Linked DNA regions of Rhinolophus ferrumequinum. The protein of the gene in region 1 purifies or fractionates together with the protein of each later gene. This does not show direct contact. Links are inferred from orthologs where the notes say so. Each region holds a gene or a part of one and is shown on either strand. Other genes may lie near its edges. The genes, in order: EXOC8, EXOC6B and RALB.

Evidence for each region.
Region 2: the proteins of EXOC8 (region 1) and EXOC6B purify together in Homo sapiens (affinity purification with mass spectrometry; 3 studies listed by BioGRID and IntAct, counting the BioPlex papers as one, with this or other methods). This does not show direct contact. The link is inferred for Rhinolophus ferrumequinum from reciprocal best matches to the Homo sapiens genes EXOC8 and EXOC6B.
Region 3: the proteins of EXOC8 (region 1) and RALB purify together in Homo sapiens (affinity purification with western blotting; 6 studies listed by BioGRID and IntAct, counting the BioPlex papers as one, with this or other methods). This does not show direct contact. The link is inferred for Rhinolophus ferrumequinum from reciprocal best matches to the Homo sapiens genes EXOC8 and RALB.

Annotation. Positions count from the first base shown.
Region 1 is NC_046310.1:25,594,278-25,598,023, reverse strand, and holds the start of EXOC8 (exocyst complex component 8), read right to left. Parts: upstream 2,285-3,746; 5' UTR 2,157-2,284; coding exon 1-2,156. Other genes in the region: DNA-dependent metalloprotease SPRTN, read left to right, coding at 2,785-3,005. UniProt on the Homo sapiens protein: Component of the exocyst complex involved in the docking of exocytic vesicles with fusion sites on the plasma membrane.
Region 2 is NC_046296.1:18,747,161-18,750,906, forward strand, and holds the start of EXOC6B (exocyst complex component 6B), read left to right. Parts: upstream 1-898; 5' UTR 899-1,010; coding exon 1,011-1,123; intron 1,124-3,746. UniProt on the Homo sapiens protein: Component of the exocyst complex involved in the docking of exocytic vesicles with fusion sites on the plasma membrane.
Region 3 is NC_046291.1:91,173,980-91,177,725, reverse strand, and holds the start of RALB (ras-related protein Ral-B), read right to left. Parts: upstream 2,376-3,746; 5' UTR 2,229-2,375; intron 1-2,228. UniProt on the Homo sapiens protein: Multifunctional GTPase involved in a variety of cellular processes including gene expression, cell migration, cell proliferation, oncogenic transformation and membrane trafficking.

The DNA.
Region 1 (3,746 bases):
TCCGGGTTCACACGAATGAGTCTAGAAGCATTCCTCAGGTCCTGGAGCTGCTTGGCGGGTTTCCCCACACCTTCCTCGAACCTTTTCTCCACCACAGGGAGGACTGTTTCGTACAGGAAGGACGCGTTCTGCCTGATGAAAGCCTTTTTCTCTGGGTCCTGCTCACACCGGAGACTATAATCCACATGCTGAACGGCCACCAGGATGATTTCTACCAGGCTCTCCAAAAGCACCATGTGCAACTCGGGGAAGTACAGCTTCAGCGCCTCCTCCAGGAAGCCCATGGTCTGCTTGGTGAAGGCGACCACCGTGTAGCTGAGGTTCACCCAGCAGCCGTCCCCTGTGTACTGCTCGAAGTTGCTCACCCCGCAGCTCTTCATCTCCTCTTTGAGTTTGCCCAGGGCCTCCGGGGTCATCAAGTTCATCCTTCTCCACAACTCCTCGGAGTTGCGATGCTTCGTGGCTTCGATTATGATCTCTTTGTAACTGTGCAAAGCCCCCTGGATGTCTTTCACCAGAAGGGCGTGGATGATGAAGGTGAGGTCTAGTCCGATGTCACCCAGTTGCTGGCAGTGCTCCTTCGCCACCTTCACACACTCGGCGGCGGTAGAAAGGCTCTCCTTGCTATCAAACACCTGCTTGCTAAAAGCATCCACAAACATGCCCATGGCTGACCTCGCCCAGACCACAAAGGCGGAGTAGCAGCCACTGTCAGTGCCTGCAAAATCCGTCTCAAATTCCCGCGCAGTCTCAAGAAGGCTGGTAAAGAAGACGTGGCACAGCTTATGGATGTAGAGCAGCGTGGCGCCTTCAATGCGCAGCTGCCGTATGGCTGTGTGCACCGCCGCCGCCCTGTTTCTCAGAAACAGCTCACAGGCCTTGGTGCACTGGCCCAGCCGGATGAGCTGACAAACCGCCCTGCGAGTGGCCTTGGGACCACCCCGCAGGGACCGATCAGGGGAGAGTTCAAACACCAGCACGTCGGTGAGCTGTCGCACGCGCTCATCCACTCTGGCCCTCAGTTCTTTTACAGGAGGGGGGCTGGGCTTATCTTCGAGGTAATGGTTCAGTTTATCTAGCAAGTCCACGGCCCCTTCAAAGTCCCTCTGCGCAATGCAGACATCCAAGTCTTCCGGCAACTCCTGGATCCATTCCATCGAGAGGTCCACCTTCTCCTCTTCTACCTCAGGGACGGCCGGCTCATCTTCCTCTTCGTCCTCAAACGGGTTACTGGCCTTGGCGGTCACCTGGGGCGGCCCTCGAGCGGCAGCCGCCTCCTCTTGTTCTCTTCGTCTTTTGTCACTGAGGGCCCTCTTGGTTTCCTCCAGCACTTCCAGCCACTCTCGTTTGATTTTGGCATTTTCCGCCTGAAAAATTCGGCTCTCGGGAAACATTAGCAGCTTGAACATGTCCTTCATGGGCGGGTTGTCCTTCACATTGACCACGGCCAAACCGTCTAGGGGATAGAGGGCGTTGTAGCGATACATCCCCCGCCGCTGCGGCAGCCAGGTGGCCACCAGCAAACAGTCGTTCATGAGAAAGCCGTGCACCCGCTGCAGCTGGGCCATGTGGTCCGCCTCATATTCCACCAGGTCCCCGTTGTACACCAGGTACTGTCCCGGCGTCTCCAGCAGGTGCCTGCAGCCTTCCACCTTCTCCAGCAGGGTGGTGAGAGTGCGCTGCTTTCCTTCCTCGCCCGGCCCCGCACAGTCGCGGGAGGCACCCCCCGGCGCGGGGAAAAGACCGGCCTGGCCCCGGAGGTGGTCTCGGCCCCCAGTGCCACCTCCTCCCTCCTCCCCTCCGGAGGCCGCGGCGGCCCCGGCGGCGGCGGCAGCCGGCAGCAGGGTAAGCGGGATGCTCTCCAGGCTGCTCTTCTGCTCGGTCAGCAGATGGCTGAGCTGATACATCTCGCTCTCCAGGTAGGAGATCTCGCGGGCCGTCTCTATGAACTGCCGGTAGTTTTGGTAGACGTTGCGCTTCAGGTTCTGCGCCGTCTCCTCCGCCAGCGCCTGGATGCGCTGCCGGTGCTCCTGCAGGTCCCGGTCCCCGTCCGACTGCTGCGAGAGCTGCTTCACGTACAACCGCGCCTCAAAGCCCGCTGATTCCAGCTGCCGCCGCAGGCGGCTCGCCCCACTGTCCGATATTGCCATCGCCATTTCCGTCTGAGTCTCACGCAGTCACTGTCACTGTCGCCGCCGCCGGTGCTGCCGCTGTCCCGGCCCACCCAGGCCCCGCGGAGCTCCAGGGCTGAGGAAGCAGGATTGAAGACGGACCAGTACGCCTGCGCCCGGGTCTGAGCTTCAGATTGTGCGCGTGCGCAAGGGGCCAAGTGCACACAGTGCGCCTGCGCGGGAGCGCCCCGGCATTGAGCGCTTGCGCTAGAAGAGCGGTTGCGGAAGTTAGTGGAGGGCGAGGCACAGAGAAGTAGGCATTGCGCATGCGCCGAGCCTGACTGTATGTCGGAAGTTGTGGTCGTCTTTTAAAGGCAATAACCAGCTTCCTGAAACCTTCCTCAGCCCCACGCCCTGGGAACCCAAGTTTTGAGCCCGCTAGGAGATGTGCTGAGTTCTTTTTATTAAACCCTCGAGTTTTGGCTTCGGGGTTTGGGGCAAGCTCAACTCTCATTCTCGAGGCAGTTTTCCTGGATTTCTCGCGAGATCCGCGCGCTGAAGCGAGAGCAGCTCGAGAATCGGTTATCTCCTAGGAGTTCGACGGGGCCCTCAGAACCTCCCGGCCGTGCGGCGAGCCTAACGCCTGCGGACCCCGCCTGGGATCTTGGCAGCGATGGATGAGGACCTGGTGTTGGCGTTACGGCTTCACGAGGAGTGGAACTTGGAGGTCGCGGAGCACGGTCTGGTCCAGGAGCCTCTGTCCCTGGTGGACGCGTCCTGGGAGTTGGTGGACCCCACCCCGAATTTACAGGCCCTGTTTATGCAGTTCAACGACCAGTACTTCTGGGGTCAGCTGGAGGCCGTTGAAGTGAAGTGGAGCTTGCGCATGACAATGTGAGTCCCGAGCCCCGCGGGGGAAGAGAGGCGGGCTGGCGGTTTCCCCGCAGCCCCGGCCCTGGGATTCTTTTCTGTCTCCGCCCCGACGGTTTCAGGGTCCGTTAAACGAGGGGTTCTGGTTTTGGACCCGACAGCTCCTCTGGTGTGTTTCTCCCTGCCCCCCTCTCTCTCAGACAACTTTAAGAAAGCTGTATGGCCCACCCCGCTACCGTTTGACTTGTAATGGATACAGTGAGAAAAAACGTTTCTTTGACGCTTACCTCATTTGAAAATAAATGAACGCATATCTGATTTGTCACACGGTAGTGCTTTAGGACCCAGGAAGGAGCAGCAACCGGTGCGCCCCAAAGAAATAGTGCCGAGGACGGGGTGCTGTCCTCCGCGGTGCTCCTTAGGGCACCTCCACTGTGTAGTGGGCGGGGTGGACGTGCCCCGTTTCTGGACCCCAGGAATCTTCAGGGACGCCGCTAAAAGGATCCCTTTCCTACACACTAAGGCTGAGAAATTCCAATTTGAAATAACCTACTTTGTACAGGAACGCAGTTACAAGTTTAAGATGCGCTTGTGTACCATCCTGCTTGGTTTTGTTACAAAACAAAATAAAACAGATTAAGATATGATACAGAATTGTGTTTCAAGTCCAGGTCTCCATATAGGCTTCTATTACCGTTTTGGAGAAGTGTTAATGGAGATCTGGCTGAGTGGCGACAGCTTGTCGGGAGGAACAGGGCGAAACCG
Region 2 (3,746 bases), on another chromosome or scaffold:
AGTGTTTCCCTGTCTGCAAATGTTCTATTTCTGCCCACCTTGAACACTTGATCTTGAGTGTTTCCTAATGCCACGGTTCTGATTGTGTCACTCTTCTTAAAAACCCTCAGTGAATTCTCATTTATCGTGTTATGTAACAATTCCAACAGTGATCAATAAATATGATTTCTAAATTCTAATCTGGGGAGTTTAGGAAATGCATGATCAGAACGTCCAGATGTAGAACCTTTAGTCTGTATTTAAAAAAAAGTTTCTAGGTGTTTCTTACACAGTTGGTTGTTGGACCAGTGAAGCCATTAGAATAAAGTACAAATTTCTCCGCCCAGTATTTCTTTCTACTTTTCCAGCCCATCTCTTACTATTACTTCTTCTACATAAGTGCAAATGGAGTTCTTGCTGGCTTTCTGAGAACTCCTCACACCTTCCAGTAACACGGCTTAAACTTCTAGGCCCAGTTTATGAATCCTTCGCATCCAGAGGTGATCTCTGGGCTCGATTCTCTGAACTGGCTGACAGCCACGTTCTGCCTTACCTCTTAGTTTGGGTTTCTCCAGCTTTCTCCTCCGCACCCCCTAACCCCCCAGCTATTAACGTATCTGTCCGCAGAAACCCAGTCCTTTCTTATTATTTGCGCCTATAGAGCCTTTTGAGATTTGTGGCAAGGGTCTTAAACAAAAATGTGTGGGATTAGTGCCATTGCTTGACTTGACCACCGCTGCATGCTGTCGTTTACTGTTCCCGGCTTATAGGGCGGCTTTCCACTCGTATTTACAGATTTAATGAATAAATGAACGCAACCCTACCCGACGTCGCCCAGAAAACTACAAATCCCAGAAGGCATTGCGTGGAATGTCGGCGGACGCAGTGACGAAGGGGGCGTGCCGAGCTTGAGGGCGGGGTCGTCCTGCGGGTAGCCAGAGGCTGGGGAGGCTCTGGAGCTTGGGGTGAGAGTGGGAGCGAAAGGTGAGCTGATCTGAAGAAGGGGACACTCTGCCGGGCGCCCCCATTCTATGGATCGGGGTAAGATGGCGGAGGCGGAGAGCCTGGAGACAGCTGCGGAGCACGAGCGGATCCTGCGAGAGATCGAGAGCACCGACACGGCCTGCATCGGGCCCACGCTCAGGTACCCGGGGTGCCCGGGCCATGGACCGGCGGGCACGGGTGGGACGGGCGGGGGGCAGGCGCCTTCGGGACCGTGCGTGTGGCCTTCTGCCCGCAGTGCCAGCGCCGGCCCCTCCCTTCGGCGAGCCCGGCGAGCGCCCTCCACCCTCTGCGAGGCGGGTCTCGCTCCGGCGCCCCGACGTGGGGTCCCTGCCCGATCGCCGGCTCACAGCCCAGACCCTCCGAAGGCTCCTCTTGCCTCCCTCCGGGCCGGGGCAGCCTTCGCCCTTCCTTCGAGGCCAGCCTGGCTCCGGGCAGCTGGAGCGCGCCGGACAGATGGTGGCTCTTAGCAGGCAGCTCTTCCCCTGAGGACATCACCCTTCTCCCTCCGACTCAAACCCCGTCCTGTCCTAGACAGACGCCCTGCTGTCCAGACGAAACAGAATTGCACCCCGGTCTGTTGCGCGGAAATTAAACTCTTGCCGTGGTGAAATCACAACCCCTGCTCGGAAACGAGTTCCTGAAAATCCTAGGCCGGGAAGGAAGGAAGGAAGTTTCCTTCAACCCGCGCCGCTCTCCTGGGAGCCGCTGCTCCCTGAACCCTGTCGGGAGGGCGACCTCTCCGGAAGGTGCTGCCTTGCGGGAGCCTCGTCGCCGAGAAAAAGTTACCCCCCTCCCGTCCCTGTTACCATCACGTTGCCCACACACCCCCGTTTTATTTGGAGATGTCAAAACACACCCCCACCTACTTCAATTGGTTTAATAACCCGTAAGTACCCCTTACTATGTGCAGCGCAAGACATTGTCTTCAGCAATTTACAAATGTAACTGATTCAGGCGGCGAAACCATCCTGTTCGGTAGGTCCTATTATTACCTTCATTTTACAGATGAGGCACTGAGAGGTTAAGTGACTTGCCCAAGGTCACTGAGAAAATAAAGTGGGGGCGTTGAGATTCCTACTCAGGCAGTCTGGATCCAGACTCTGAAGTCTTAACCTCTGTCGTTTTGCCTCCTTTGGGGATTGGATTACCATCTCCCTGTACTTCCGGTTACTTACTTACCTAGCCCAGTTTCAAACCACCTTTTCCTTTCCCCTCGGTTTCCTAGAGCCCTAGAACTAACTCATCTGCCTCCTTCCTGTGGTACCTTCTGATCTCCACGTAGCCAACAGATCATTGTCTTAACCACCTTGTCCAGTCTTAGGTCACTGCTCCTCCCTTCAAAAGAGAGTTATTACTCACTGCTTGTTTTTTCATGGGGAGAGTTGCCTCATGAAAGAGTGTTTCAAGGAGGGGCAGGCTGGAGACTTGACCCTTATCTCCCCCTGCACAGCTTCCTTCTGTTAGCACAGTTCTTCCAGTGCCATCCCTGAACGTGACCATTCCTAGTAGTTTGCCTTTTGTCCCTTATTGCATGATGATCACGACCATCATGCTCCTCTCTCTATCCATTTTCCTGAGCTCTTCAGGGTGAATGATCGCTCCTCTTTTCATTATCTTTTATAAAAACTAACGGTTACTTACTAGTCTTCTAAGTGCATTATTAATGGGTATTAGTATTTGGTTTTCATAAAACAAAGTGTTACTAAAGTTAGCTGAAGATGCTGCTTCAGTATTCTCCTAAGAAATTTGGCTGGTGAGCTGCATTTGGCAGCCAAGCAAAGCTCCCACTGGAGCAGATGGGATTACCAGGGGTTTTAGGAAGTGTTCTTTCTCAGAACACGATCAGTGTTGTCTTCAATTGGTTATGGTTTTCAATTGCTGTAGTTCTTGGTTTATAGGATAATGACTTTAGTTTCGTGTTATCAGTTTAGTTTGTTGTGATTTATTATGTTAACTCTCCGCTGAATAGTAATGCATATTTGTATCATCTGAATTTTGGCCTGTAATTTTCTAGTATCTTGACTTAAGAATGTTGCATTATGGCTCAAATATAAGTTACCGTTTCCCCCTAAAATTTGCTTCATTGTTCTCACTGAGTTCTTTTCCCACAGGAAAGTGGGGTTTTGTGGGGGTAGATGGATGAAGGGATCTTTTGCCCTAAGTGGATCTGGTAAAGAGAAAAATGGGTTAGAGACCTCTGCACTATCCTATCCGTTTTGGCTGCTTTTCCTTACTCCCTGTATCATTCTCAGGGGCTCTTCATTTTTGGCCTCATCCTGTCTTTGGCAGATAAACCTAAATCTTATCATCAGAACCAAGACTCAATCACTTGACTGTCCTATAATGCAAGTATTTATTACCCCCGTCTTTGTTTTCAGTCCAGCTTGTCTCTGCCCATATTCATAGGGGATGATCTCAGCTTTTTTCCTTATCCCGTTCAGAGGTAGCAGCATGCACAGACTTGATGTGTTAGATCCATGCTTTACCCTGGATGCACCTCCATCATCATTATATCCCGTTTTTCCACCACAGTACAGTCATTAACCAGATTTGATTAAGGCACTAGGCTCTGTTCCCTAACTTTACCCTCAACTGTTAACGCCTTTACCCCTTTTCATAATCTTTCCTATTTCTTCCATCTTTTGGGGTAGCATTTTTTAAGGCACCAGATTCTTAGGTGTTCCTGAGTAACTGAAGAGAAATGAAAGAACAGGGAGTAACCGCAAATTGATAGCAGATAGAAGATTAGTATACCCATCCCT
Region 3 (3,746 bases), on another chromosome or scaffold:
AACAATGTTTCCAAATTCTACGACTGGATAAGAATTTAGTAACTGAATTCAAAGAGGTATTGTGGGATTGAGTGATGTGGCACAAAGGATTATCTCAACTCTGGTTTAAAAATTTCCAGTCTCAAGCCATCTTCAGCCAAGGCAAGAACCTTAAAGAATGAAGGCAAGTATTTAGAACTTTTCTACTTCTTCCACCTTCTACCAAGATCCATTTAGATCCCATTTAAGGCTCTAATTCGTGTTTTCCTGTCTTTGAGTGTTTAGGTCCCACATTCCCAAAAGATATCTAATAACTATACCCCCACTTCTTCCAGACAAAATCCTGGGAAAGGTTCTACTCCTCAGGCATAGGAAAATCTTGCTGAGATCTCAGACAAGAGTACCTACTTTTCCAATGAGAAATAGTGTGAACAGAAAAGGAAGGTGTCATGCGGGGCGGCCTACGGGGCGGCCTGCGGGGTCTCTGCTCCCACTCCCCACATAAGAACGCAGGATGTGGCTAGGCCAAAAAGGAACCCCCACGGAGCCATAGGTAGGGGAGTCATACCACTATGGTTTCACCGGAGGCTGGATTCACACGTGCGACCTGCTGTCCGCTTTTCTGCCAACCGACCGACTCCCCCTCCCCAAAGCAGCGGCAGTTATATCGGTGGCCAACTGGCTAACCCCAACCGGCTACAGCTGACGGTCAACTAGCCACAGCCGACGGTCATCTACTACCCGAGCCAGCACCCCTCCATGTAAGGCCGAGAGCCTGGAAACTGCTCTCCAGAGCTTTGTCCCCACAGAAGGAAAGACCCAAATGTGGCCAGAGGAAAGTCGACTCACTGACTCGACTAAAACCACAGAGGGGATGTGTACCCCTGGCCTCATTCCCACCCCTATCTCCATCCCACCCCCACCTCCATCCCACCCCCACTACCACAAAGAACGCCTTAAACATTCCTGGCTCCTTTAAGCCCACAAGTAGGATAAATATCACCTTTTTACAGCTGTGGATTCTGCAGCACAGAGAGGTGAAAAGTCATACTCAAGATAATCAAGTTTCAGAACCAGCATCAAACCTAGGTCTTCACACCCTGCCCTCCTGTTCTTCCCAATATTCAATGCTACCTTCCACAGCCGTCCCATTTCTGGAACTTCGATATTCTATTGGTTCCAGGTCTAAGAGACATGACCTTGTTTCGAGCTTTAACATCCAAGAACCTTACTGCTCTGCTTAGAACATGGGTCATTTATGCACCTGAAAGGTATGCTGTCCTCTCTGATAATCAGTGCCCACTATCCATCTCCAAAACTTAACAAAAAGAAATGAGGTTAGGAAACTAGGACAAAGCAGGAAGTTCACTGTTCTACAAGGGTTCAAATCAAGTCACAGATGGCTCAAATGAACAATCAGCCAAGCCTCTTCCATTGGCAATTCTAAATCAGCAACAACACAAGACCTTCTCCCCAGAAACTCAACGATAACAACATCAAAGTTACGTTTCCAGTATTCACCCAAAAATTAGCAAAGAGAGGGACACTTTTAAACAAGTAGTCTGGGCGCTGCTGCTACCTCTGCCACTAGCAGTTCTGAAACAACCGTGGATAACCTTATTTATATACCTATAAAAGGGCAAGAAGAGAGGTGCTGAACCCTGGTCCAGGCAAACAGTTCAAGTCCATGGTGATTCCTATTAGAAGCCACGTTCAGTGCTAGTATGTATCATAAGGAAATTGGGGGGAGGGGTCGCAAAGAAACAACTTTATGCTCATGTGCAAGACAGAACCAAAAACAGACCCAGCAACTCAGCAACTTTTGGAACACGTCCCCTGTTCAGTCCAAGTTTTTAAGGTACTAATAAGTTTTTGCAACACTTTAGCTTTTATCCTGCCCAGAGCGCCAACTAAGGGGCTGAGGAAGTGAACAGGAAGTGGAAGCAGAGGCCATTTGTGGGAAAAGGGAAGGAGCGGCGAAAAGGGAGAGGCTGGGGCGCCGCCCCCAGTTCCTCAGCTCCAGACCGGTCTGGGAGGCCCGGAGGCTTTCTCCCGGGTACCTCCCGGGGCCGCTGCTCCAGCGTCGCCCTCCGCCGGCCTCGCGGCGCGAGGTATTCGACCGCCGGCCACAGCCCAGAGCGGAGAGCGCGGGGTCAGACGGACACCAAGCTCAGGGCGACGCACCCCACTTCCCCAGCCCGCGCCCCACCCCGCTCCGAGGGCTCCTGCCCGCGCGCGGACATTCTTACCTGGGCTCCGTCCGGCGCAGCCTCGGCCGTCCGCAGCCGGCCCGCCGATCTTAAACCCGCCCCGCCCTCTCCTTTGCCTCCTCCAGGGGCCGGACCCCAGCAGTCCCCAGGCGATTTGTCATCGAGTAGTCTGGGCTAGCTTCCCCACCCCCGAGCGCGCCCCCGGCGTCGCCTAGGCAACCCCACCTCTCGAGAGCGCGCCCTCGCTTCCGTGCCTGTCCTGGGTGGCCACGCCCACTGAGAGCCTATTACCCAATCCGAAGCAGAATTTCCAAGCCTCAGGAGGCTGGGGAGAAGGCTTAACCAATGATAAGCCACCTCAGGCGGGAGGGGCGGGCTCGGCACGCCTACACCGCCCCCCTCCAGTGCCTACTTTCCACCGCCGGACGAGTTGCACGTGACCACTGCTGTAGTGGAGGAGCCAGGTCTGGGGTCCCTGGGCGTGGGCGGCGGAGGGCGCGTCCGTCGTGAATTTAGATGAGGGCGAGACCAAAGTAGTGGAAAGTAAAAGGGAAGGACTGACCTGAGACAGAAAAGCAAGGAAAATGACGATGCGGCGCGCGGGTGTCCAAGGGTTCAGGTGGCCCGTGGGACGCCGGCCAGGGTCTCCTGTGGCGCGACCTCCGCCTGCCGCCACTACTCGCTTGGCTAATGACGTCTCATTAGCAGCAGTGGAGTTACTTGATCAATTCTAGCAATAACTGGACCCAGATTACAAGGTCAAGAATTCTAACCCCAGCGGTAGCCTTGAGGCAGGAAGTGCAGTGGGCAAGCTCATGCCCGACAGGTTTTTCTCTCACAACCTGCCCCCCGCCGGCCATCGGCCTCCAAGGCACGGAAACTTTTCATTTTCTGTCCATATAGGGTTTGACCTCGGGTTGATTTTCCTAACTAACCTCCCCTTCCTAGAGCTGAATCCTCCCACCCCCCTCCGCCTTCTCAGGATTTTGGCCCATCTGACCCCTCCGCAAACCTCACAGCGGGACACAGTGTATTACAATTCCTTGTTTAAATATCCACCTCTATAATTTCTGGGGAAGGAAAGTAGTGCTTGTTCAATTTGATACTCACAGCAGCTAGCACCATGTAATTAATTCTTTCGTTGTTGATAAGTACACATTAGGATACATGTGTATTATATGAGAGGCTTTGTGCCTTGATTAGATTGCTATGTATAAGCAACTAACAGATCCAGGGCTTCCACCAACAGCTTTATCAAAAAGCACAGATTTAACTTAGTCTTAACAGGCTTAACAAAAAAAACATGTAACCAGGATATGCTAGTCTTAGTCTACAATCTTAAGTGTTCTGTTTTTACCCTTTTCATATACATTAAAGACTTTTATTGCACACTAATTATAGGACAGAAATTCTGCTAGTTACTAATAATATAAGGGAGAGAAGTAGGAGGAGGTTTCTCAAAAAGGAAGCTCTCTGGTATTTATAACCTAGAAGAGAATTCAGACCCAAGACTAAGGATTAAGTGCACAGGTTTGGAATCAGGAAGCATGGGTTCAA